3 linked regions of the Tamandua tetradactyla genome follow. The protein of the gene in region 1 binds, or shares a complex with, the protein of each later gene. Links are inferred from orthologs where the notes say so. Each region holds a gene or a part of one and is shown in the gene's direction. Other genes may lie near its edges.

What was found.
Region 2: the proteins of MAPK10 (region 1) and SH3BP5 are in contact, whole or in part, in a crystal structure (PDB 4H3B), measured with the Homo sapiens proteins. The link is inferred for Tamandua tetradactyla from reciprocal best matches to the Homo sapiens genes MAPK10 and SH3BP5. Residues at the interface, in NP_620448.1 of Homo sapiens: Lys121, Asp150, Ala151, Gln155, Val156, Met159, Leu161, Glu164, Arg165, Tyr168, Tyr171, Val197, Lys198, Ser199, Asp200, Cys201, Trp362, Asp364, Glu367; in NP_004835.2 of Homo sapiens: Val341, Val342, Arg343, Pro344, Gly345, Ser346, Leu347, Asp348, Leu349, Pro350.
Region 3: the proteins of MAPK10 (region 1) and MAPK8IP1 are in contact, whole or in part, in a crystal structure (PDB 3PTG), measured with the Homo sapiens proteins. The link is inferred for Tamandua tetradactyla from reciprocal best matches to the Homo sapiens genes MAPK10 and MAPK8IP1. Residues at the interface, in NP_620448.1 of Homo sapiens: Asp150, Ala151, Gln155, Val156, Met159, Leu161, Glu164, Arg165, Tyr168, Leu169, Tyr171, Val197, Lys198, Ser199, Asp200, Cys201, Trp362, Asp364, Glu367; in NP_005447.1 of Homo sapiens: Pro158, Lys159, Arg160, Pro161, Thr162, Thr163, Leu164, Asn165, Leu166.

What each region holds. Positions count from the first base shown.
Region 1 is NC_135350.1:40,818,584-40,825,821, forward strand, and holds the start of MAPK10 (mitogen-activated protein kinase 10), read left to right. Parts: upstream 1-4,151; 5' UTR 4,152-4,741; intron 4,742-7,238. UniProt on the Homo sapiens protein: Serine/threonine-protein kinase involved in various processes such as neuronal proliferation, differentiation, migration and programmed cell death.
Region 2 is NC_135341.1:73,336,489-73,344,215, forward strand, and holds the start of SH3BP5 (SH3 domain-binding protein 5), read left to right. Parts: upstream 1-4,700; 5' UTR 4,701-4,839; coding exon 4,840-4,986; intron 4,987-6,788; coding exon 6,789-6,851; intron 6,852-7,727. UniProt on the Homo sapiens protein: Functions as a guanine nucleotide exchange factor (GEF) with specificity for RAB11A and RAB25. Inhibits the auto- and transphosphorylation activity of BTK. Plays a negative regulatory role in BTK-related cytoplasmic signaling in B-cells.
Region 3 is NC_135334.1:122,532,850-122,540,237, forward strand, and holds the start of MAPK8IP1 (C-Jun-amino-terminal kinase-interacting protein 1), read left to right. Parts: upstream 1-4,331; 5' UTR 4,332-4,373; coding exon 4,374-4,474; intron 4,475-7,388. UniProt on the Homo sapiens protein: The JNK-interacting protein (JIP) group of scaffold proteins selectively mediates JNK signaling by aggregating specific components of the MAPK cascade to form a functional JNK signaling module. Required for JNK activation in response to excitotoxic stress.

The sequences.
Region 1 (7,238 bases):
CAAGAGGTGGGGATGATTTTTGGAAAGGTGAGAACCAGATATTCAAAATATACTTTCAAGGCCGTCTCTTTCCTTCTTGACTTTTCACTTTCTTTTGGGTTAATTTCATCTTTGGGTGGATTTTCTTAAAATGGTGGCAAAGATGGCTTCCCAAAGTTCTAAAACTATACTTTCTTACAGCTAATAATACCGTAAAAAGAAAGTCTCTTTCTCAGTGTCCATATCATACTTTTCCCCACCAAAAGATTCTGATTGGTCCTGTTTGGGTACAATAGTCACTTCATAGAGAGAGGAATGGGATACCCCTGTGACTGACAGTTCCATCAGTGGCATCAGGGGTAGTTCTCAAAAGGAAGAGAAGAGTTCTGTTACACAAGGGAAAGCAGGATGGCAACCATGACTAGGTTAAAATCAAACATTTTCTTCTATTAAGTGTTGATTCTTACCTTTAGATGACAAATTTGCTCCTATATTTTGGAGTGGATTTTACTATTTATGCAATTTTTTTTTTTTTGCATGAGCGGTCACCAGGAATCAAACCCAGGTTTCCGGCATGGCAGGCAAGAATCCTGCCACTGAGTCACTGTTGCACTGCCCTGGGTTTTACTATTTAGGGCTTTAATTCTCAATCTACTCTTTTCAGTAATATTTAGATGAATAAAACAATCTTTTACGTCTTCTGCATACTTCAGTAAATTTTCTTAAATTTAATTTCTTAAAATTTGTTCACGTAACACACATTGGTTTAAAAAGAAACAAAAAGTCACACCTAAGTAGTTCCCATTCTTTACTAGATAAAACCCAAACTCCTTATTTAAGGTCTTCAGTAGGATGACCCCAGTGTATATCTCCATTGCCATTTCCCAGTTCATTACAGTATGCCTGAGAGAACAAAGAATAATACATTAAACAAACAAACAAACAAATAGATATTGATTGAGATTATGGTGTGTGTCAGGCACAGCACTTATGCAAAGATAATTGCATCCATCATATACACTCCTACTGCTTCCATTCATTCTGTACTTTCCATACCGTATTTTATATTACTATGATTTTATGAATACTCTCTCACCTTATACTTGTCTGTGCCTTAACCCTTTTTATTTATCATTGTCTTCCAGGAACCTAGCATGGCATTTTATACAAGGAAAGCGATCAGTAAACATTTATGGTTAATAATGATCATTACTTTACAGCTATAAACTTTTTTTGTTTTGTTTTGTTTTTTTTTTGTTTGTTTTTTTTTTCTTTTTTTTTTTTATTAATTAAAAAAAGAATTAACAAAACAATTAGAAATCATTCCAATCTACATGTACAATCAGCAATTCTCAATAACATCACATAGTTGCATATTCATCATTTCTTAGTACATTTGCATCGATTCAGAAAAAGAAACAAAAAGACAACAGAATAAGAATTAAAACAATAATAGAAAGGAAAAAAACAAAAACAAAAACAAAAAAACAAAAACAAAAACAAAAAACCTATACCTCACATGCAGCTTCATTCAGTGTTTTAACATAATTGCATTACAATTGGGTAGTATTGTGCTGTCCATTTCTGAGTTTTTATATCCAGTCCCGTTGTACAGTCTGTATCCCTTCATCTCCAATTATCCTTTCTCTTTTTTTTTTTGTTTTTTTAATTAACGGAAAAAAAGAAATTAACCCAACATTTAGAGATCATACCATTCTACACATGCAATCATTAATTCTTAACATCATCACATAGATGCATGATCATCATTTCTTAGTACATTTGCATTGGTTTAGAAGAACTAGCAACATAACCGAAAAAGATATAGAATGTTAATATAGAGAAAAAAATAAAAGTAATAATAGTAAAATCAAAACAAAACAACACAAAACAAAACAAAAACCTCTAGCTCAGATGCAGCTTCATTCAGTGTTTTAACATGATTACTTTACAATTAGGTATTATTGTGCTGTCCATTTTTGAGTTTTTGTATCTAGTCCTGTTGCACAGTCTGTATCCCTTCAGCTTCAATTACCCATTGTCTTACCCTGTTTCTAACTCCTGCTGAACTCTGTTACCAATGACATATTTCAAGTTTATTCTCGAATGTCCGTTCACATCAGTGGGACCATACAGTATTTGTCCTTTAGTTTTTGGCTGGATTCACTCAGCATAATATTCTCTAGGTCCATCCATGTTATTACATGGTTCATAAGTTTATCTTGTCTTAAAGCTGCATAATATTCCATCGTATGTATATACCACAGTTTGTTTAGCCACTCGTCCGTTGATGGAGATTTTGGCTGTTTCCATCTCTTTGCAATTGTAAATAATGCTGCTATAAACATTGGTGTGCAAATGTTCGTTTGTGTCTTTGCCCTTAAGTCCTTTGAGTAGATACCTAGCAATGGTATTGCTGGGTCGTATGGCAGTTCTATATTCAGCTTTTTGAGGAACCGCCAAACTGCCTTCCACAGTGGTTGCACCCTTTGACATTCCCACCAACAGTGGATAAGTGTGCCTCTTTCTCCGCATCCTCTCCAGCACTTGTCATTTTCTGTTTTGTTGATAATGGCCATTCTGGTGGGTGTGAGATGATATCTCATTGTGGTTTTGATTTGCATTTCTCTAATGGCCAGGGACATTGAGCATCTCTTCATGTGCCTCTTGGCCATCCGTATTTCCTCTTCTGAGAGGTGTCTGTTCAAGTCTTTTTCCCATTTTGTATACAGCTATAAACTTTTGATCTCTAAAATATTAGTAAAAAGTGTTAACTTTTGGGACATCCCATATTAAAACAGGTAATCTCAGTTATGATATTACATATTTGAACTTTGTGTTAAGGTATAAAAACACCTTTACTAACTTTTTTCATAGTACTTTCAAAGAAACATTTAATCTAGAAGCCTGATTTGAATACTATCAATATCAATGATAAGAGTTTTTCACAGGAGAATTTTAAATGGATAAATGAATATAACTTCTTATTTTCAAAGGCATGGAGTTGTATTTATTATCTTTCGTATCCAGGTTTATTTATTTAATGGCATGTAGGTACTTTATGGTGGGACTTGAAGATATCCAAAAATATTTTTTGTTCTCCAAGCAAGGAAATCTCCCTTTCTTTATAAATGCAAACTTTGGAATGCTATATTTTGCTATATTTGTATAGCAAATACTTTGGAATGCTATATTTTGCTATATTTGTATAGCAAATACAAATACCATAGTAAGTATGGGTTTAGTTTTACAGATTTTTTTTTTTTGCCAAATGAACTCAATAGAAAGTTTTTTTTACAATCATTGGATCATTTAAATTTACTTTCAAGAAAAATTTGTATTTCTGATAATTTATAAATTATTAAGGACCAGATGATAAATCTGGAAAAACGTTATTGAAAAATTTCCTTCAAAATATTTTTAAAGGCTAAAAACTTGGGTAAGCTCGTTCTTTTAACTAGTGGAAGTAATAAACCGCTTTTAATCCAAGAAATTATTATTTGTGGATATTAAAACTATAATATACCCTAACGGGCAAAGGCAAGGAATATTAACAAAATTGAGATATTTCCCTCAAATAGTAATAATGCCCTAACAGGCAAAGGCAAGGAAAATGAACTAAATGGAGATATTTCCCTCAAATAGTAATAATGCAATTTACATTTATTTTCCAGAGAATTATTTGTGATGATAACAATAAAAACAACAACCCTGATTTGTTAACTCATATTATCAATATTTTCTTTCTACATTCAAATCGCAATCTGAGCATTATTAGTTTGTTGTGTTTTGACTTAGTGGGTATTTACTCAGGATTTTTTAAATGAGAAACAAGGAAACTGAGAAGAGGAACAGTGCAGTACAATGACCTCTGGGCAAAACTCAAATGCTTACTTCTCTAGGGTAATTATAATAGCTTGCTTGTCTTGACATTCAGAGATAGTGCATGTCTCTCTCCACACTGTTTGCAAAAAACCTGAAATAGTTGGAAAACAGAGATCGGATGCGTTTCCAAGGTGTTTTGTAGTCTGCGGGTATTTGCTCCTCAGAGCTGCTGTGAAAAGGACCAGAATCGCATCGTGGGGAATGTTTCTCTGGATTGTGCAGCCAGGCTCCCTGATGTCGTAGTTGCTGATACTGGCTGCCGACGAACCCTGTTCCTTCACATTTGCCTCGTCCTCACTTCTCCAGAAAACACAGGAGCTGTAGCCGCACATAGACTTTTTCCTCTTTCTCTTTCCCCCTCTCACCCCTCCCTAGACCTCTTTGGGCTTTGACGTCACGTGTGCTCCTTTCCGTTGCCATAGCAACCCCATTCCCCAAGCCCTCTGTCCGTCTCCTCTGGTAGGTTCCACAATGGTACAGGCAGCATCACGCTGCACAATGGTTTCCAGGCAGTGAAAGAGGGTGATTCAGCAAGGCACTCAGCTTCTTCTGTTGTTGTTTTAAATCTCCCCTTCTCTTTGTTTTTATGGGGGTGGGTGGTACTTGCTATATGCTTTCCTTTTTCTTTTCTTTTTTTCATTTTTGCAATTTTCCTTTTTTTTTTTTCTCCTCACCCCTCAATTCCTAGGGGGCTGTGAGTGACTTTAAGATGGAATTTTCTTGTAAGTCACCTGTCCATCATTAATTTTAAACAACCTCCCCACCGCCAAAGACTATTCCTTGTCACAGTTTGGAATGTGGTTAATGAAAAGCAACTAGAGAGGATTTCTGGGGCAAACACTGCCGGATCACTACCGTAGTTCTCAGACACGGAATGGTAGGTGGCTCTAAGCTCATTTCGGGTTCTGACTTGTTTTTGGAGGGTGGGGTGACGTCTATTGATTGTTTCTCATGGGGTGGGAGAGTGAGGGGTGGGAGAGGGGGGCGAGGTGGGGTGGAAAGCAGGTTAATGAAGTGAACTACCTCTGAGCCAAGAGGCCACCAGGTTTTTTCCCTGTGTGGAGTATCTTCCCTCAGACCTGGGTGTGCTGTAACCTTTCTGTTTGGAGTGAAGGGTGGCAGAGGGTGGGAGGGAGCATTCTTACTGTGATCAGGGGTTGTTAGACCAACGTAGAACTACAGAGGGAAGAAGAGAGAGAGAGAGAGGGAGAAAGAGAGAGGAAACATCTGTGCTTGCCAGAAGTGCCAGCCTCAGTCCCATATTTGAGAAATGCTATTCCTTTTTAATAGGAAATTAAAAAATAATGTCTTTAAGTGTGCATTAACTGAAATAAATATTTTATCACATATTCAGTAGAATATGGTATTTATATGTTTTAGCTGTAAAACTAGAGTCATTACTTTTACAGAGAGCCTAGGTTAAATTGGTGCTGGTAAAGGGACCATAGAACAGGGAGCCGGTTAGAGATAAGAGAAAAAATTGGCACTGCAGTCACATAGGTAAGGGGTTCCTTTAAGAAAGTGATCTCCTAGTCACAGGAGGCAGCATTTTTTTTTTTTATGGCATGGTTCCCAGGTATTCTGTGCTGGGATACCATGTCCCCTAGAAATGTCAGAGCTCCTTTGGTGAAAAAAGAAAAGAAAGGAAAAACATATATCATTAAAAACAAGCATAGCAATATATTTATAAGAATATGTGATATTTGAAAATCTTCAGGTAAATCATGATATAGATAGTACAATTAAAATTATATATATATCCTTTTTTTTTGTCCAGAAATTTAAAGCAAGACCGAATCTCTGTTTTTACCCTTTATAAAGATAACTTCCTAGGATACTATAATCTAGTCACAGAAAAAGAATGGCATATCTCACAGCATTCTGCTCTGAAGCAATCACAAGGTTGTTTACGTGGGCTGCCTTTGCTGCAGAGTCTGAGTGTCTGTACAGTAGCCTTGATCACTTCTCCTGTGCTGACTCTAACTTTTATGAAAAAATTGAAAAGAGGTTGGCCAAGTCATATGGGACAGGTCACGCAGTTCAGACTAAAAACAAATGCCTATAAATGCACAAGACACTGCCAGTCCAAAGTCCAATTTCTTCCTCCATCACTAATCTGCTGGTTGTTGGACTCTGAAAAGTCTCGTAGAATACCGATCAACATATTAGAAATGTTTGCAGGAATAACTGTTCCTCTCAGAGAGGCTTCTGCACATTTTCTACCCTAGGTGAGCATCTATGTTGTAAATGTAGATAGTGATGCTCACGAATGAGTTCACAAGTGTCCAACTCCACTTCAGAAACATTGGATTTTAGGTGCTATACAGTTTGCATGTAGCAGTTTTGTTGCCTCTGGTATGTACTCCCCGGTCTACCTTATTCTCACTCCTAAAATTGACTGAAAGTACTGGGTTAGCTTATTTTAATAGAAGGAGCAAACCGGTTTTCCCTGCCCCACATTGGTAGTAGAAAATCAGATATAAACTGTGGTATGACCTTAGGTGTTCAAGAGTCTTCCTGCTTCCTCATTTGTAAGCACTTCCCTGTTGCTGCAAAGTATCTTTAATTTGATGGGCTCCTTTTCTGACAAAATGTTTGCAGTTTCAGTAAAAAGGCTCCTGATGATGGGGCAGTAAGAAATTATATGCAGAGAGGAAAAATCAGCTGCCTCCAGCTTCCTGCTTGCTCACCGCAGAACAGCATCTGCTGTCGGGAGGAGTGTGTTCAGAGGAGGAAGGGGATGTTTATGAACAGATCTCAGAGGGATAGAGTGTGTTTTTGCTGTCATTGTCTGGTACATCTGCAGCTATTAGTATTTAATGGTTTCATAATACATGTCGATGTTTTTCAAGGTTAGGATGAACTGAGAGTTGATCAAGGATGCTACAGTACATGTGAATACTTAAAATTTACAGGAAAACCTATAGGTTACCCTAGTCAGTATATTGTATAGGAATATCATAAGCAAAAGGAATCTGCCTAACCTAAGTAACCCGAAAATGCTTTCCATGTGTAATGGCATATATATTTTAGAAATTTTATTGTAGCTTCATGTAAATGAATCTATTTCTTTGAATGTTAGCTTGGTTACAAAGTCTTTTTATACTGATGATAAAAGATAAAGACAAATTTGGGGTTTTCTTGTTTGTTAAATCTGGGGACAGAGGCTCACCCTTCCTGCTTTAGATCTGGCTTTGGATCATATTTATAGTTAAAGGACTTTCCTTGGAATTGTGTGCAAATTGAATATTGCTTAATTGCTTATCAGGATATGGGCTCAAACCTAGAGAATTCCTTTAATTAGATAAGAAGTAAACAAATTGACATCTTAAAAATTCTTCCTCTATTGTCCCTTCTATTTCCTTTTGCACTGT
Region 2 (7,727 bases), on another chromosome or scaffold:
TACAACAGGTCTGTACCCTCAGGAATGGGTTAAAAGAACATGGCTTTTTTCTGGGGTACATAACAGCTCCAAACCACCACAGGAAAGCACTTTTTCTTTCTTTCTTTTGCAAAATCTTACTCTCTTGTTCAAGGAAATTCTGTTTATTATTCAAAGTCCAGTGTCAGCTTCTCTATAAAATTATCCTGGCCCTTCAAGGCAGAAGAGTGAGTATGAGCTCCATGTTCACCCAGTGGGTAATGAGGTCCTGCTCAGTTGCCAGGAGTGGAAATGCTGCTCCTTTTCCCACGTGAATGGCCAGCGCGCTCCTTCCATTTCCCAGTCTTTCGGCCCTAAACTCAACCCCACCATTTTGAAGTCAGCAGATCTCCCCACATTCTCTGATTCCTCCATTTCCCAGTTTCAAGAATTTGGGAGAAGTTGCCCTCTTCGCAGAAAAGACCAAGGAGCATTGCAGACACAGTTGGAGGTCCCCTTCACTCGAAGACAGAAGTGACAACCTTTGAACATGGCAGCATTTTCTGTGAGTGCTTAAGTCAATTCACATTTGTCGCCACACCTACAGAAATAAAACACACCCCAAGCATTTCATCTCTCCAAGGTATGAACCAAATAAGGAAAAGGTCTCTCTTTGCCGGAGATCTGCTTGTTTTATAATTTTGGGAGGACAGGGCCCAGATTGTAAGTGCTTTCCACCAATAAGGAGGTGGGGCTACAGGAGAGGTTGATGGAATCCTATGAAAGAAACCAGATCATTGCAAATAAGAACCCACAATGGAGGAATATATAAACATAGTCTCATCCTATCAGATACCATCTCCTCCTTCCTTCCACATATCAGCCCACTATTTTAAATGGCAACGGGGAGCAATGCAGAGGCTGTGATTCTTACCAAGGTAGATTTACAACTTAAGGAAGTGTGGGGCAGTGAACAAACACATATAACATATTTTCCCCCAATGTCTGGACTCAAACAAACTGCAAGGAGGTACTAAAAATAAATTGATCAGGGAGTGCGGAGTCCAAGCAAAGCTGTTCTTAAGATTTCTGTTTCTTAACAGCCGTCCCATCTTTGCCCACACCGTACAGTGTGTGGCTGCCTCAATACACGTGTGCCATTCCCGCTCAAGGCCCACCCAAAGCCTGACAAGGAGAGGTGTGTTCTTGGAAACCACACTCCCAGCAAAGCATTACAAAGTTGGTCATTTCCTCCGCAGGAGCAGTGTTCTAGTTTGCTAGCTGTCGGCATGCAACACACCAGAGACGGACTGGCTTTTAATAAAAGGGGATTTATTTTGTTAGTTCTTCAAAGGAAAGGCAGCTGACTTTCATCTGAGGTTCTTTCTTACGTGGGAAGGCTCAGGGTAATCTCTGCTGGCCTTCTCTCGAGGCCTCTGGGTTCCAACAACATTCCCTGGTGGTGATTCCTTTCTGCATCTCCAAAGGCCTGGGCTGAGCTGCAAGTGCTAAGATGAGGTATGCCGAGCTGCTTGGGCTGTGCTATGTTGAGCTCTTTCATTTAAGTACCAGCCAATTAAGTCAAACATCATTCATTGCAGCAGGCACGCCTCCTAGCTGACTGCAGATGTAATCAGCAACAGATGAGGTTCACATACCATTGGCTCATGTCCACAGCAACAGAACTAGGTGCCTTCACCTGGCCAAGTTGACAACTGACTCTAACTACCAAAAGCAGCATTCTCATTGGCATAGGAGTTGGGAAAATCTAGATTCTAGAAAATAACCAGTGATACACCAAGTGAGCTACTCCTTATGTAACCATTTCTTCAATCATTTAAAGTTGTTTAATTATATTTATATTCATCTAAAATGGGTATGAATGTACTGTGCCTGAAATACTTCACCAATGGCCAAGAAGAGTCCTGGGGGTATGTATTTTTCTAGTGAGGAGGGAAGTAGAAGGTTGAAATTCAGATTTAAAATAGACAATGCAAACTAGAATATACATTTCCTCTAAATCAGTAGTTCCCAGACTTTTTGGTGTCTGGATCCCTTTATATTCTTAAAAATGATTTATTAGAGGATCTCAAAGAGCTTTTGTTTATGTGGTTACATCTCTTGGCCATTACCGCATAGAAATGAAAACTGAGATTTAAAAAACAATTATTGAGCAGTGCAATGGTGGCTCAGTGGCAGAATTCTCATCTGCCATGCCAGAGACCCAGGTTCGATTCCTGGGGCCTACCCATGCCAAAAAAAAAAAAAAAAAGAAAAAGAAAACAACAACAACAACAACAAACAATTATTAAGTCATCTAAAAGTAATAATAATAAGTCCATCACATGTTAACATAAATATGATTTTGTGACAAATATCTATTACAAAACAAAATAGTGAGAAGAGAGGCAATGTTTTATGTTTTTGCAAATCAGATCCATTCTCATATCTGCTTCTGCATTCAACCTGTTGTGATGTCACATGTCCTGTAGCTTATGGAAATCTCCAATGCTCACTCATGAGAGAATGCGAGAGAAAAAGGCAAATATTGTCTTAGAATTAGTATGAAGCAGTTTTGACCAGAAGGATATTCTGCAAGGTCTCAGGGACCTCCAGGGGTCTCTAGGTCATCCTTTCAGAACCACTCCTCTAGATCGATATGCCAGCTAAAGTAAATATTTAAGCATTTTACATAATAGCATGGCTTGCCTTCTTAGTATGTGTGGTAGGCAGAATTATAAGATGGTTTCCATTTCCTGTCTCCTGTTGTGCAAACCCCTGTGTAATTTCTGGGGCTTGTGAATATGGTGAGGTAGTTGTTCCTTCATTAGATTAGGTATATGCTGCAGCTGACTTAAAGAATTGAAGACTCTCCTGGGTGGATCTGGCCTAATCAGGTGAGCTCTTAAAGCTAGGGACTGGGCTCTTCCTGAAGAAGAGATTGAAGTATGTGTGAGATTTGACACGGGGATTCTTTGTTGCTGGTTCTGAAGATGGAGAGAGCCACATGGCAATGAATGAAGGTGGCTTCCAGATGCTTAGTCCTACAACCACAAAGAAATAAATTTGACCAACTACCTGAATGGTCTTAGAAGTGATGCTTCCCTAGCCCTAGAACCTCCAGAAAGGAATGCAGGCTGGACAGCACCCTGATCCAGCCTGTGAAATCCTGAGCATACAGCCCAGTAATGCCAGGTCAGAACTTCTGACCCATAGAGCCATGAGATAACAAAAAGCCAAAAGCAACTATGCTTTTAGCAAGGAACTTCAAAACATCTCTCACAGAATTGTGGACTCTCCCCAGATTTAAAGAGCTATGAACAGGTCAAAGCAGAGGAGAAGGGAGATGATGGTGTGGAGAGGAACATGGAGCCTCCAAATGAAAATCCAAATATTGACAGCAGCATTCTCCTCAGAAGAGAAAGACCTTTACAATGGGGATCAATCACTATTAAGCTTCTACTACAGTGATCTTTACAGAAACAAGCCTATAGCATAGACCTGTACTATTTGCAGGAACAGGACAAATCTTTGAGAGTGGACCACAGTGTCAACAGATAGGGTGGCACCTTGCCCCAGGAGTAACATCCTCAAGTTAGCTTCTGGCAAAACCAGAAGCAGGTTTTTCCAGGTGGCTTTAACCCCAGGCTCTCAGAAAGAAGGTCCTAAGGAAGTTTGTCCTCCAAACTCACAGAGCCCATTGGCCACAAGCTTCCATGCACGAAGCATATACTTTCTCCATTTTGGTCGAGAAGGAAACATCAGGAGTGATGAGTGGCAATGTCCCTAGCCTGCTTTCCCTAGGCAGTCTGACCTTGTGTTCCTGATATCACAGTGGCCCTGACATTTCATAATAACGCATGCATGCCCTTTCGGTTGTTTGGCCTTTTGTGGTGATGAGTTTCCCAGGTAAGCTTTGGCATCCCACTTATTGAGGGTGGACAGGGCATCTCATCAGTTCATAAATCCTTGGCTAGAGTGTGTCCATCAACAGGGAATACACTCGGGGCGTCCTTGGAAAGGCTGTATCATCCCACCCACTTCCATGTTCAATGGGTTCTCAATGTTTCATGGCTATTCAGGTAGGACTATCACACACCTATGAAAGTGCAGGAGATTGGTTTGTGCTCCAAGCCTCCCAGTGGAGGACACTGTCTTGGGGAGAGGAATCCATGCATGGACCTGCAGCCGGCTCCTCTCTTTGTACTTTTGCATCTGCACAGAGCATATGTTTCCGTTCTTTTTTTCTGAGGAAATCTCCAAGTAGAGGCAATTCACAAGGTTCACCCAAAGGAAGAAAGATGCTTTGGGTACAAGGGTTTGAGTGGGTCTTGAAACTGGCCCAGGGGCATTGAGCACAGGTCTCCAAAGGTGACTTCTGAGAGTGGAAATGTCCCAAACGTTCCTCCCATACCCTAAACCTATCTTGGCTGAGTTTAGCCACCCAGAAAGCAGGGGGCTAACGCAGGGTGTTTTGTCATTTATTCGGGCTGCTAAGTTAAAAGTGGTGGTGGTGGTGGTGGGGACGCTCCTGTTTCATCAGCCTAGGGGTTGTCAGGAAACTGGGGTTTTTGTGACGGAGGCCCGGGTAATGGGGACCAGTAGATGAATGGTGTCAGGGCCGCGCCGAGGGGCGGCCCCGGCGGGACGAGGGCGGAGCGGGCGGCGTTGCGCTGACGGCCGCGGCAGAAAGGGGGCGGCCGCGCCCATTTCCACCGCTGCGCTCCGCCTCGGCCCGAGGGCTCCGCGGCGGCGAGCGGCGCCTCCCGGACGGTGGCACGGAGGCTCGGCCCAGCCTGCCGCGGCCGCGACCCCCTCGAGGCGCTGTAGAGCCCACCGCGAGGTTCGGGTTCGGCCGCAGCGCCCCGCACCTCCGCCCACATGGAAACGGCGTTGAAGCGGAGCCGCTCCGAGGAGCCGGCGGAGCTATCTCCGCCTGCCCGGGACGTGGAAAAGGAGGAGGAGGAGGAGGAAGAGGGGATGGAGCAGGGGCTGGAGGAGGAGGAAGAGGTGGACCCCCGGATCCAGGTACGGCGCGCGGGGGTCCCCTGGGATCTCCTCTCCGCAAGGGCTGCCGCGGAGGTCGGCGTCTACACCTCCACTCCGAGGATCCGCACGCAGCCCCTAGTGTCCGCGGTCGGCGGGGTCGCAGTCGCGTAGATCCTAGGGCTGCAAGAGGGGGTGTGAATACACCGTTTTCAAGCGCCCCCGCCTCTCCGGGGGGGCTGCAGTGCCCGCGTGGATGCGGCCTGACTACGTCGCGAGGGCCCCCCCCCCCCCTTTCCCCGCAAACTCTCGGCGGGATCTTGGGGGTTCGGGCGATGGGCAACAAAGGGAAAAAGGGACAGAGGAGCCATTGCCCTTTCCGGGGTACCCCCCGCGTCAGGCTCCCGGCGCCGCGGGTATCGCGCAGGCGACGGCAGAAGGGATTGCCCGGCCCGCGTGGGCTCTGGGGGCGGGCCCGGGAGCTCGACTGGGTGGGCGTTGCCCGCCCCTGCAGCGTGGGCTGGCGCCGGTGCCATGGGTTCGCAGCCCCCACCTGGCCGAAGTCACCGGCCAGAGTCGCCTCTCTCCTCCTTTGAGTCATTGTCAAGAAACGGGGGGCGGGGTAGTGTCCCCGCTGGTTCAACCCTCCGCTTGGCCTGAAATGGTTTCAAGCCCTGGTTTTCCTTGTTGTGAGGTCGGTTGTGAACAGAAATCAGGAACAAGTGATGCGCAGTGCTGACGCGTGCAGGCGGTGAGGGGGTTGGCCTGCCTTTCTATGCCTCCATTTCCAAGAGGGATGATTAAAAAACACTTTACAAGCCGACATCTATGAATGACAACTTAACCTCTGCACCCGCTAAGCAGAAACACAGCAAATCCCCCTTTCCAAGATCCGTTTTACTCTCCCCTTTCCATAAATCTTTTCTTTTTTATTTTTTTAAATATATATATTGCTAAAAAGCATGCTGTGCAGTTTTTGGAGCCCTAATTGATTTTTCAGCGCACAGATCAATTAAAAGCTCATTGAACTCAGTGGTTGGGGTTTAAATGAATTGTTTTTCGGCCGTTTAGCAAGATAAAGATCAGGTGGAAAAAGCCTTGAATTAGGAATGATTCGATTAATTCAAATCATCAGTTTGGGTTGCTATAGCTTCTGTTCTTGCTGGGAAATCCTGTTATCGAGATCCTTTGTTTGCAGAGCAGAGCAAAGATGAGTTAAGTTCGTGCTCCTTACTTTTTTTTTTTTTACAAATGTTAGATTGCAAATATTAATTTAAAGGATTGGGATTAAAACTAGTTAACTAGAGGTAGGTAGGTTGAATAATTGGCAGTTTAGAAAAAAAAGGGAATTTCATCTCTTTACCAAAAAATAATCAACCACAGATGACATGCCAGCTGTCTGTCCAGATTTAAATGATTTCACTGGGTTTAATATCCTTTTGGCTTGGCCAGGTTTTAAAACAAAATTTTTTAAATGCTTATTTCTTCCCTCTATGGCAGAAGGTACTGTTTTGATTCTGCCACTGAACTGCTTATAACAGGTGAGTTTACCTGAAGGCACCCACCTGAAATGGATATTTGACCTTATAGGAAAAGACAGATAATTCCTAGGCCCTTAAGCCATTTTTAAAAAGGATATCATCAAGAAAAAAACTTCAGAAATGGGACACTCATTTGCTTTTCCAGACAAGGCCCCCCTTTTTCCCTTGAGAATGAATACCACCTTTCCCCTCTTCCACAAAATTGTGCCGGGATCATTGTTTTCAGGTTATGGGCTGAGTTATTTTGGAAACAAAAGACCGATGCCTCAAATCTTTTTTCTCCCCCTTTCCTTCCTTCACTAGGGAGAACTGGAGAAGTTAAATCAATCCACGGATGATATCAACAGACGAGAGACTGAACTTGAGGTACAGAAAGCTGGGTCCCTTTTCTGGGTGTCGTGGTGTCAGTTACGCTGACAGTTCATTTTGCTGTAATAGCTGGAGGGTTATTTTGGAGGCCCTTCCTTGGGAATGGAGCCCGGTCTGTGGGCTGAAAGCCTGTGGATCCAATTTCACATGTTTTTCATTATGGAAGCTCCACCGGGCCCAAACCAATGGCTGTGTGAAGCACCGGACATGCTTAAGCCCCCAAATTTAATGTGTCTCTGGAAAAGTTGAAGAGACTGAGGGGAAAATGAGCTGAACTCTTTCATGTAGAGTAATGAATGAGCTCACAAAATCTCTTAAATGTTTAGGGGCTGTTCCTTCCATTTGTACTTGGAGCTGTTTGGTGTTTCCTCAGACTTACACCATGTTTTGACTTTTCTACCCTAATAATTCACCCCCCACTTCTACTTTCCTGCTCATTTCTTTATCCTCTCCTTGTGTATAGAATATAATTATCTTAGTGGTTTAAAAAAAAAAGTTGTTTAGACTGGGAAGGGCTTTCCTGCTGGGAAAAATCTCAGGGGAGGCAGCCTTGATTTGAATTTCATGAGCGTTTTCTGACCTGAGTGTAAACAGAGTAGCATTCTTAACAGCTGCCAATTAGTCCCCACCCCTGTTGGGTAATGGTGGATTCTACCCTCCTTCAGCAAACCTGAACGACCTCTGTGCATCTACGAGCGGGAGCTCTTGGGATGCTGGGAGCCACCCGGAGAACCCGTTTTTGTAGCAGTAGCAGGAGAAATAGCAACAGAGTTCCCACAGAAAGGACAGGAAACATCTGGGCTTGTCACCAGTCCTTAAGAGTGAGGGTCCAGGAGAACCTAGCCACGTGCCATCAGATGTGGTAGCGTGTGC
Region 3 (7,388 bases), on another chromosome or scaffold:
CCCTAGTCTTCCCTCTTTACATAAGGCTGAGGGACATTAAGGCAACAGTTTTGGCTCTTGTCATGAGTATGGGACTTTAGAGGCAGCCAGAAAGCCCTGCTTGAGTTCCTGCTTTTTGACCTTGAGGCTTGGCAGGCTGGAGTAGACCAAGCCACCTAGTCTGCCTTCTTTCTTATTTTAAAACTCCCCACTCCTCTGTCCTTCAGACCATTCCTTGGGTGTCTGGGACTGGCCACAAGGCCATAGATAGGAATTTCTGAGAAGTTTCCACCGTCATGTGGAAGTACACCTAAATATGTGAGTGGTGTGGTGGGGACATGGTACTGAAACAGCACATGTTTGGAGGCACAGGGCTTCAGGTTAGGAGTAGAATCTGAGCTCTTTGCCCAGAAGCTTGGAGCCAGCCTCAGAGCTTTTCCAGGAGCTGTGGGGGGGCCAGGGTCAGACTTGTCCCTCCACAGGAAAAGATCAGGTCCCTGCTGACATCAGGTCCCCTGGCCCCTCTGGCTACTCTCCAGGGCACCACAGTGCTGCCAGGGAGAACAGCTGAAGTTCAGCCAGGGAAGCCATTCCAGCCCATTCGGTAGGCTTCCGGGACCTGCCCTGCGCTGGCTAGCATCCAGCATGCAGCTGGACTCTGAGAAACCAGGCAGGTGGACCTGAGTAGGGACAGCCAGGGACAATTGACAGAGATCCACACAGAGAACAGACCCAGCACACCAACCCTGCTAGCGCAGCAGGTGGGAGGATTGACCCAGAGAAGCCAAGCCTTGCATTCCAGAGGTGGCCGTGCCTCCCCTCCCCTCCCACTGTCAAAGGCCTGTGTTAAGAAAGTCTTAACGAAGCAGGGACTGCGTAGTTCACTGGAGCAAGTCTTCCTTCTACCCTATGGCCTGTCCTTGAGCCACAGGGGTGCTTGTACGTGTGTGTGTGTGTGCGTGTGCGTGCCCACACGTATGTGCATAGCTGAGAGGCTGATTCCTCTTCGGATTTTTGTCCTCATATGCTACATTAAGCTGGCCTCTAGGCCATCTCCTCTCTACCTCCCCTGTGACCTTACCTAGCCTCATAGCTGTTAACTGCTTTGGCCCGAGCCCTGTCCCTCCCTGTCCTCTGTCCTCAGACCAGAACCGTGGGGCCAGGCCCCTGTCTCCTACAGCTGTCCAGTGCATTGGCAGGCTTCTTCCTGAGATGTCCTCAGGTTTTCTCAGCCAGAAAGCTGCCTTTAGATTCGAACTGTTGTATGTATGTCACTCTTCCTAGAAATGTCCTATAATTGAAGCGTGGAGAGAGGGGAGCAGGGCACATGTGATGGTGTGTATTGGAGAATGGGGTTGGGGACTTACCTGTTCCTTAGCCCCAGCCTCCAGGAGGAAAGAGAATCAGAAGCCATTGCCAGAAGGGCAGTAGAGTAAGTCTGGAAGGGCTAGTCTGAGAAACTGAGAATGCAAGAGGGCTTAGGGCTGGAGTCGGTTATTTGTTTAGCAGCACCTTCAAATATCGGGATGATTCCTTTGTCCTGCCTATATTTGATGATAGCTCTCTCCCCTAAAGTAAAAAACCACCTCTCCCTACTTTACCATCCCTGGCATGCTGGCCTGTCCCCAGGACAACCTTCCAGTGGGGTGCAGCAGTCTACTCCGGGGCTGGGAGGGGAGGGTTGGGGTGAGGGTGTGTCCAGTGGCTGTGCCCCCCTTCTAGCACAGGTAACCAGGCGGCTACTGCAGAGCGATGCTCCAGTCCTGATCCAGGGGCCAGCGTGGGGAGGAGATGGTCGCAGGCAAAATGCACTTTATAGAGATTTTTTTATCATTGGGAAGGTGTGTTTCTCCCACGGTTTGTGAATATTCAGTTGTTTTATAAATGTCTAATCCTGTCTAAGCAAAGCTGTGTTGCTGTTAGTCTTATGAGAGGTCTGGGGGCTGGGGTTTTAAGGCTGGTTCTCTTCCAGCCCCTCCTTGGTGGGTGGGAGGGGGTAGGTGGGAGGGGGGTGTCTCAGGGGACCTACTGGAGCAAAACTGGGTGGCCAGAGCTGGGGTTCAGTTGGCCAGAAGGATTCAGAGCAGGCCAAGCCCAGGATGAGGTTCCTGCGTGCTGTCCTGCGGGGCCTCAGCCTGTAGCCCATTTGAGCCCCCCAGGCTAGGAGACAGTCAGTGCATGGCCCTCAATCCGTCCTTTACCTCAGTAGTACCAGTTGGGCTGCTGCTCTGTGGCAAGGACGGGACGCAGGCCCTCTGGTTCCGGGCTGGATGCTGTCTTCTTCCCGGGGCGTCTGGCCATGAGGACCCTCTAGACAGTGTGTGGCTTACCTGCTGGTGCGGCCTTTCCCATTGCCTTGGGCTTTGGGGGACTGGGCGTGTTGGCAGCCCGCCCTCCAGCTCCCTTTGTCCCTGCGCAGATGGGAAAGGGGAGAAAGAGAGGGACTGAGCCCTGGGGCCTGTCTCACTCTCGTGCCTGCTTTGAAGCGTCTGCTGGCCCTCTTCCCACCAGAACCTGGAGCGCCCTTCCCTTCGGGATTCCTTCTAATGTGGCTTTGGCTTGGCCCCTGGACTAAGATTCTTCTGTTCTTAAACCAAGGAAAAGGGGTTGTCCAAACACAAACACACTCTTGACTTTTCCTTCCGCCCTAGCTGAGACCAGCACACAGTCCATGGAACGTTTATTAGCCAAGACAGCAGAAGTGCTTTCCTTGAAATAAAATCCAGGCACCATGGCAGCAGCTGGTTACTGGGAGGGCCTCAGGAGTAGTGCCTGTGCCAAGGTAGAAGGAAAGGTAAAGGGTCACCCATCTGGGCCCCAGGGGCAGAGAAAAGACACAGCCAGGGCTTTTGGCTCTAGGTATTGGGATGCCGTCAGGGCTGGAGCTAGAGCTTATTTTCTGCAGGATAAATACCAGCAGCATCTTTCTGGGAATTACACTGAAGGGAAAGGGGGCAGCATGACCAGTGGGCAGTTCAGGTTTGCAAATAGGATTTTGCAAGCTGTGAAGAAGTGTTCTGCCTCTTCTCCAGAGAGGTGAAGGACAGGGTCTCTGGTTCTCTTGGCTGGCCAGAGGCCTTGACCCACTGAAATGGGGGCCCTGGCCTTGGTCAGCAGCCTGAGTGCCAAGCATCTCATGGTCTGTGAAAGAACTCAATCAGGCTACACAGGGCCCTGAAGGCTTGGAAACCCAGGCTGTGCGCTCTGAGGGAGGAGAGGACCACAAGGAACCACAGCCCAAACCTAGCAGGGGTGGAGGGTTCGAATCTCAAGAAGTTGACAGATTGGGTAGGGGGGAAGGCCCCGACCTTAGAGTGTGAGAAACCAGTGGTAGGCCCACCCAAAAGAGGGGCAGTGTGCAGGAAATGCAGTTGAGGCTGAAGAGAGAGAAGCTGGGGGATTTCTGACACGAAGGGGAAGCTGAGAGGCCTAGAGGAAGGGCTTAAGTCACCATTAATACCTGTTGGGGGCCAAAGGCAACCTTGGACCAATCTTTAGAGATGAGGGCCTCTAGGGAGGAGCCTTGGGGTCAAGATAAGGAGACAGGAAAGGAAGGAAGGAGGCCTGGAGCTCCTGGAAGGTGCAGGAGCTGCAGTGTTGAGACAGGCCTGGTTTCCAGTGACAGCACATTCATACATACTACATTTCACCATCGAAACGACTCTGGGAGGGGCTGTGCTTGTCCTCATTTCAAAAGTGAGGAAGCTGAGCCTTAGGATTGTTCAATCACGAATGCAAGGCCCCCATCCCCACCTAGTCACCTGGGGAGTCAGACTGAATTCACGCCACCTGACTCCAAAGTTCACTGCCGGAGGAGCCATCCGGCGGCGCATCCTTTCTCCCCTCTCCGTCTTCCTCCCTGAACCTCTCCCGCCAGCGTTCTTGGCCTTCGTCTGCTACGGGGCCAACCGGAGCGTTGGGGACCCAGGGTCCAGCCCTCGGCACCTGATAGCCCGGCGCTAGGTCCGCCCCTACGGACAGAGCTCACCGAGTCCGCCCCGGAGACCACGGGCCTTGCCCGGGGAGGGGGGCGATGTCGGGTCTGGGGAGGAGCTGGGCCGAGCGCGGGGGCGCGGGGGCGCGGGGGCGCAGGGGCGGTGACTTCAGCACTTCGGAGAGCGCCGGCGGGCGGGGCGGGGCGGGGCGGGGCGGGGCGTGAGGGGCTCCGGCGGGCCGGGCGCGCGCCGCGGGGTTTTCGCCAGTACCCGCGGCCGTGCGCGGGCCGGAGCTCGCGCTGCCCTGCGCAGGTGCGCCCGCCGCGCCCGCCGCGCCCGCCCCAGCAGGAGCCCCGCGACGCCCGCGGCCTTGTCGCCGCGCCTCCGCCTCCCTTTCCTCTTCCGCCACCGCCTCCTCCGCGCCGCGCTCCGCCCGGATGGCCAGAGCTGTGCCGGAGAATGGCGGAGCGAGAGAGCGGTGGCCTGGGCGGGGGGGCCGCGTCCCCGCCGGCCGTCTCCCCGTTCCTGGGGTTGCACATCGCGTCGCCTCCCAATTTCAGGTGAGAGTCCCGCGCGCCCCCTGTCAGCTGAATCTGATTTGCCTTCCACCAGCGCAGCACGCGCGCACCGGCCCCGGGTGCGAGCCTCCCTCCTAGACAGAGCCCCGGACCCCGAGCCCCCCGAGCCCCCCGAGCCCCCCGAGCCTGGAGTCCAGACCCCGAGCCGCTGCGTCTCGTGGTGCCGCGGCCGCCGCCGTTCCTGCCCTCGGGCCGGAGGGCCTGAGCCGGGATCGGGGGAGGGCGCCGGGGCCGCCTGCCCGGGGGCTGCGGCGGGCCGGGTGGGGCTTTGCCTGTGCCCAGCCGAAGCCTCGGCGTGGAGACGGGAGCAGGCTGCCGCGCCCCGCCGGCCCCGGGTTCTTGGGGCGGCCGACCTCCTTGGTGTTGGGAGGAGGAGGTCGCGGGCCCCTTCCCGCCCCGCCTGACCTAACGCCCAGGCCGCCCGGGCACGATCCCGCGCTCTTGGGCCAGCACCGACCTTCCAGGCGTGTGTCTAGGTGCAGGAAACTCAGTATTTCCCGGGGGCCCGAGGCCCAGCCAGGGTCGGGAGCTTAGTTTGGAGAGCCAGAATAGCCAGGGCCATCGGGTGGGGGGGGTATCCAGGACCCTGGCCCGAACTCTCCTTCCACCCCGCCCCCCACCTGCTGTTGCTGTTAGGGAACTAGAAAGTGGGTTTCAGAGGAGGGAAGGGTGGGTTTTGTGGGGGCAGGGGTAGATGTCCCTGCCCTGTAATCCTGGCCCCCAGGTGGGGAGGAGGAAGAGGGGTGCAGCTGTGCAGGGCCTTGTGGAAGGGGGCTTAGAAAAGCCTCACTGCTTCTCCATCTAATGAGCTGGCGCCTTCCCCTCTCCCGGGGCCCCTACCCCAGGCAGGCCCCAGCTGGGCTATGGCGCCAGCCCCTTCTCTGACCAGGCGGTCGCTGACTCCCTGGCCCTCAGGTGGGCAGAGACCCCTGGGGATCTCTAATGGCATCATCAAGCCCAGGAACCTCCCCCACGGCCCTCAGCTGAGCTGGGGGGACCAGAGGGAGGGGTGCCAGATGGGGAAGGCCGAGGCGTAAGGCTCCACCTGCCATGACAGGCTGCCTGTGTGCCTGCCCCGCAGCCAGAGGGGCCTGGGTTCAAATCCTGCACCTGCCACTCCCTAGCTGCGGGACCTGAGCAGAGGTTTTCCTCCGAGTGCCGTCTGTGAAATGGGCTGGTTAATATGAATCCCTGCCTGGAAATGAGGTCATGCACACTAAATCATGGCATAGCAAGGGCGCCTCCTCCCTGCTAGCGGCCCTTTGTGTAGCTCGTAACTGCCCGGAGTCTTTCCCTGGCCTGTGAGTGGGGCTTGGCCCGCCCGTTTTAAAGGTGAGGGAGTTGAGAGGAAGGCAGAGTGGCTTGCCTCAGGACCTCGAGAGCACCAGTGGCTGAGGCTGGACTAGAACCCAGGTCCGGGTGTCTCTGTCCACTCCACCACCTGCCCCCACCTCTGGTCCAGAGCTCCTCATCCCCGCCCACCCCCGCCTGCGAATCTCACGGAGGCCCTAATGCGAGCAGCTGGCTAGATGCACACCAGCCCGGGAGTGTGTCCAACTCGGGGCCGGATGGGGTAAGGGCGACGGTCTACAAAAAGGGTAAGGCATGGCCTGGCCCTCAGGACAAGGCCAGCTTGTGGGAATAATAAGAGTCTGTGTCTCAAGACTCACAGGGCCTGTCCCGCCTGCTCTCACCACCCCCGCTGTCCTTTCCTTTGTCCCAGCACTTGGCCTCACTTGGTTTAACCCCAGACAGCTAGTGCTCTCCCCTGGCTCTCTGGTGGACTGATGGGCCCAGCTGGCCTGGGTCTGAACCCACCTAGCCTTCTTAATTGGGTGCTTAGCCCCCTGGGCCTCTCTTCCTTCTCCAAGTCGCTGGCTTTGAGCCCTGCTCAGAGCAGTCCTGGGTAAGGCGACACCTCCTGAGAGTTTCTTGAGCTACCAGAGCTGCGTTCGCACGGAGCTGTTCTTATTATCGTGTCTGTGCTCCTAGGCCCCGGCTCTGCTGTCAGCTCCTGGAAGGCACGAGGGGTCAGTACCTAAACACTTGTATCCTCGGTGCCTGGACTAGGTGCTCAGTAACTGTGTTGGTTTATTATTTCACTAAAGATAAAATCAGTGCAGGAGATCAGAGAATAACAGTGGTGAGTGCCAGACACTGGGGGTACTTGCTCAGCCCCGGCTCAGCCCCACGGGCTTCTGGGTGGCCAGGCAGCCAGGCCGCACTGTAGCCATGGAAAGAGAAGAGCGCTGCTCTGGTTTGCAGGTGAGGTGGCCAAGCTGAGATCTAAACCCAGGCAGTTTGATTTCGGAATCACCAGAAGAGAGCTGAGGGCTAGGGCGCTGGAGCAGACCTTGTGGAGGGGCCAGGGGGGAGGCACAGCGACTGTGCTCGTGGTTGTTTTAAATAGATATGTGTGGAGTCGTTGTTTTCTTTATTTCTTCTGATTATAGAAATGCTCCGAGTTACTTACCCTTGGATATGGTATTGGATGAGGGATTTCACTTATTTTACTTATGTCTGTATTGTTTGACTTCTTGTTTTTACAATGAGCATAGGTTACTTCTGGAAGTTACAAAATAAAGGAAACTAAGTTTAAGTGATATACATTCATTATTTTAAAAATTCTAGGAAAGAGAATTTAGAAATGAACACAGTGAATGAAATGGAGTTGGGTGGGTGGGGTGAAGGGGGTGGGACAGTCCACTGGGGGTCGGGGGTGCAGCTCAGGGAAAGCCCAGGAGCAGCTGAACTTGAGTGTGTGGAAAAAAAGTCACAGACCAAGAAAGACCTTAGAAATGAGCTCATCCAAACCAAGCCCCCATCCTTTGAGAGAGGTGGACATCAGAGAGGCTGAGTTGCTTTCCCAAGAACACACAGCATGTTGGTGGCATGG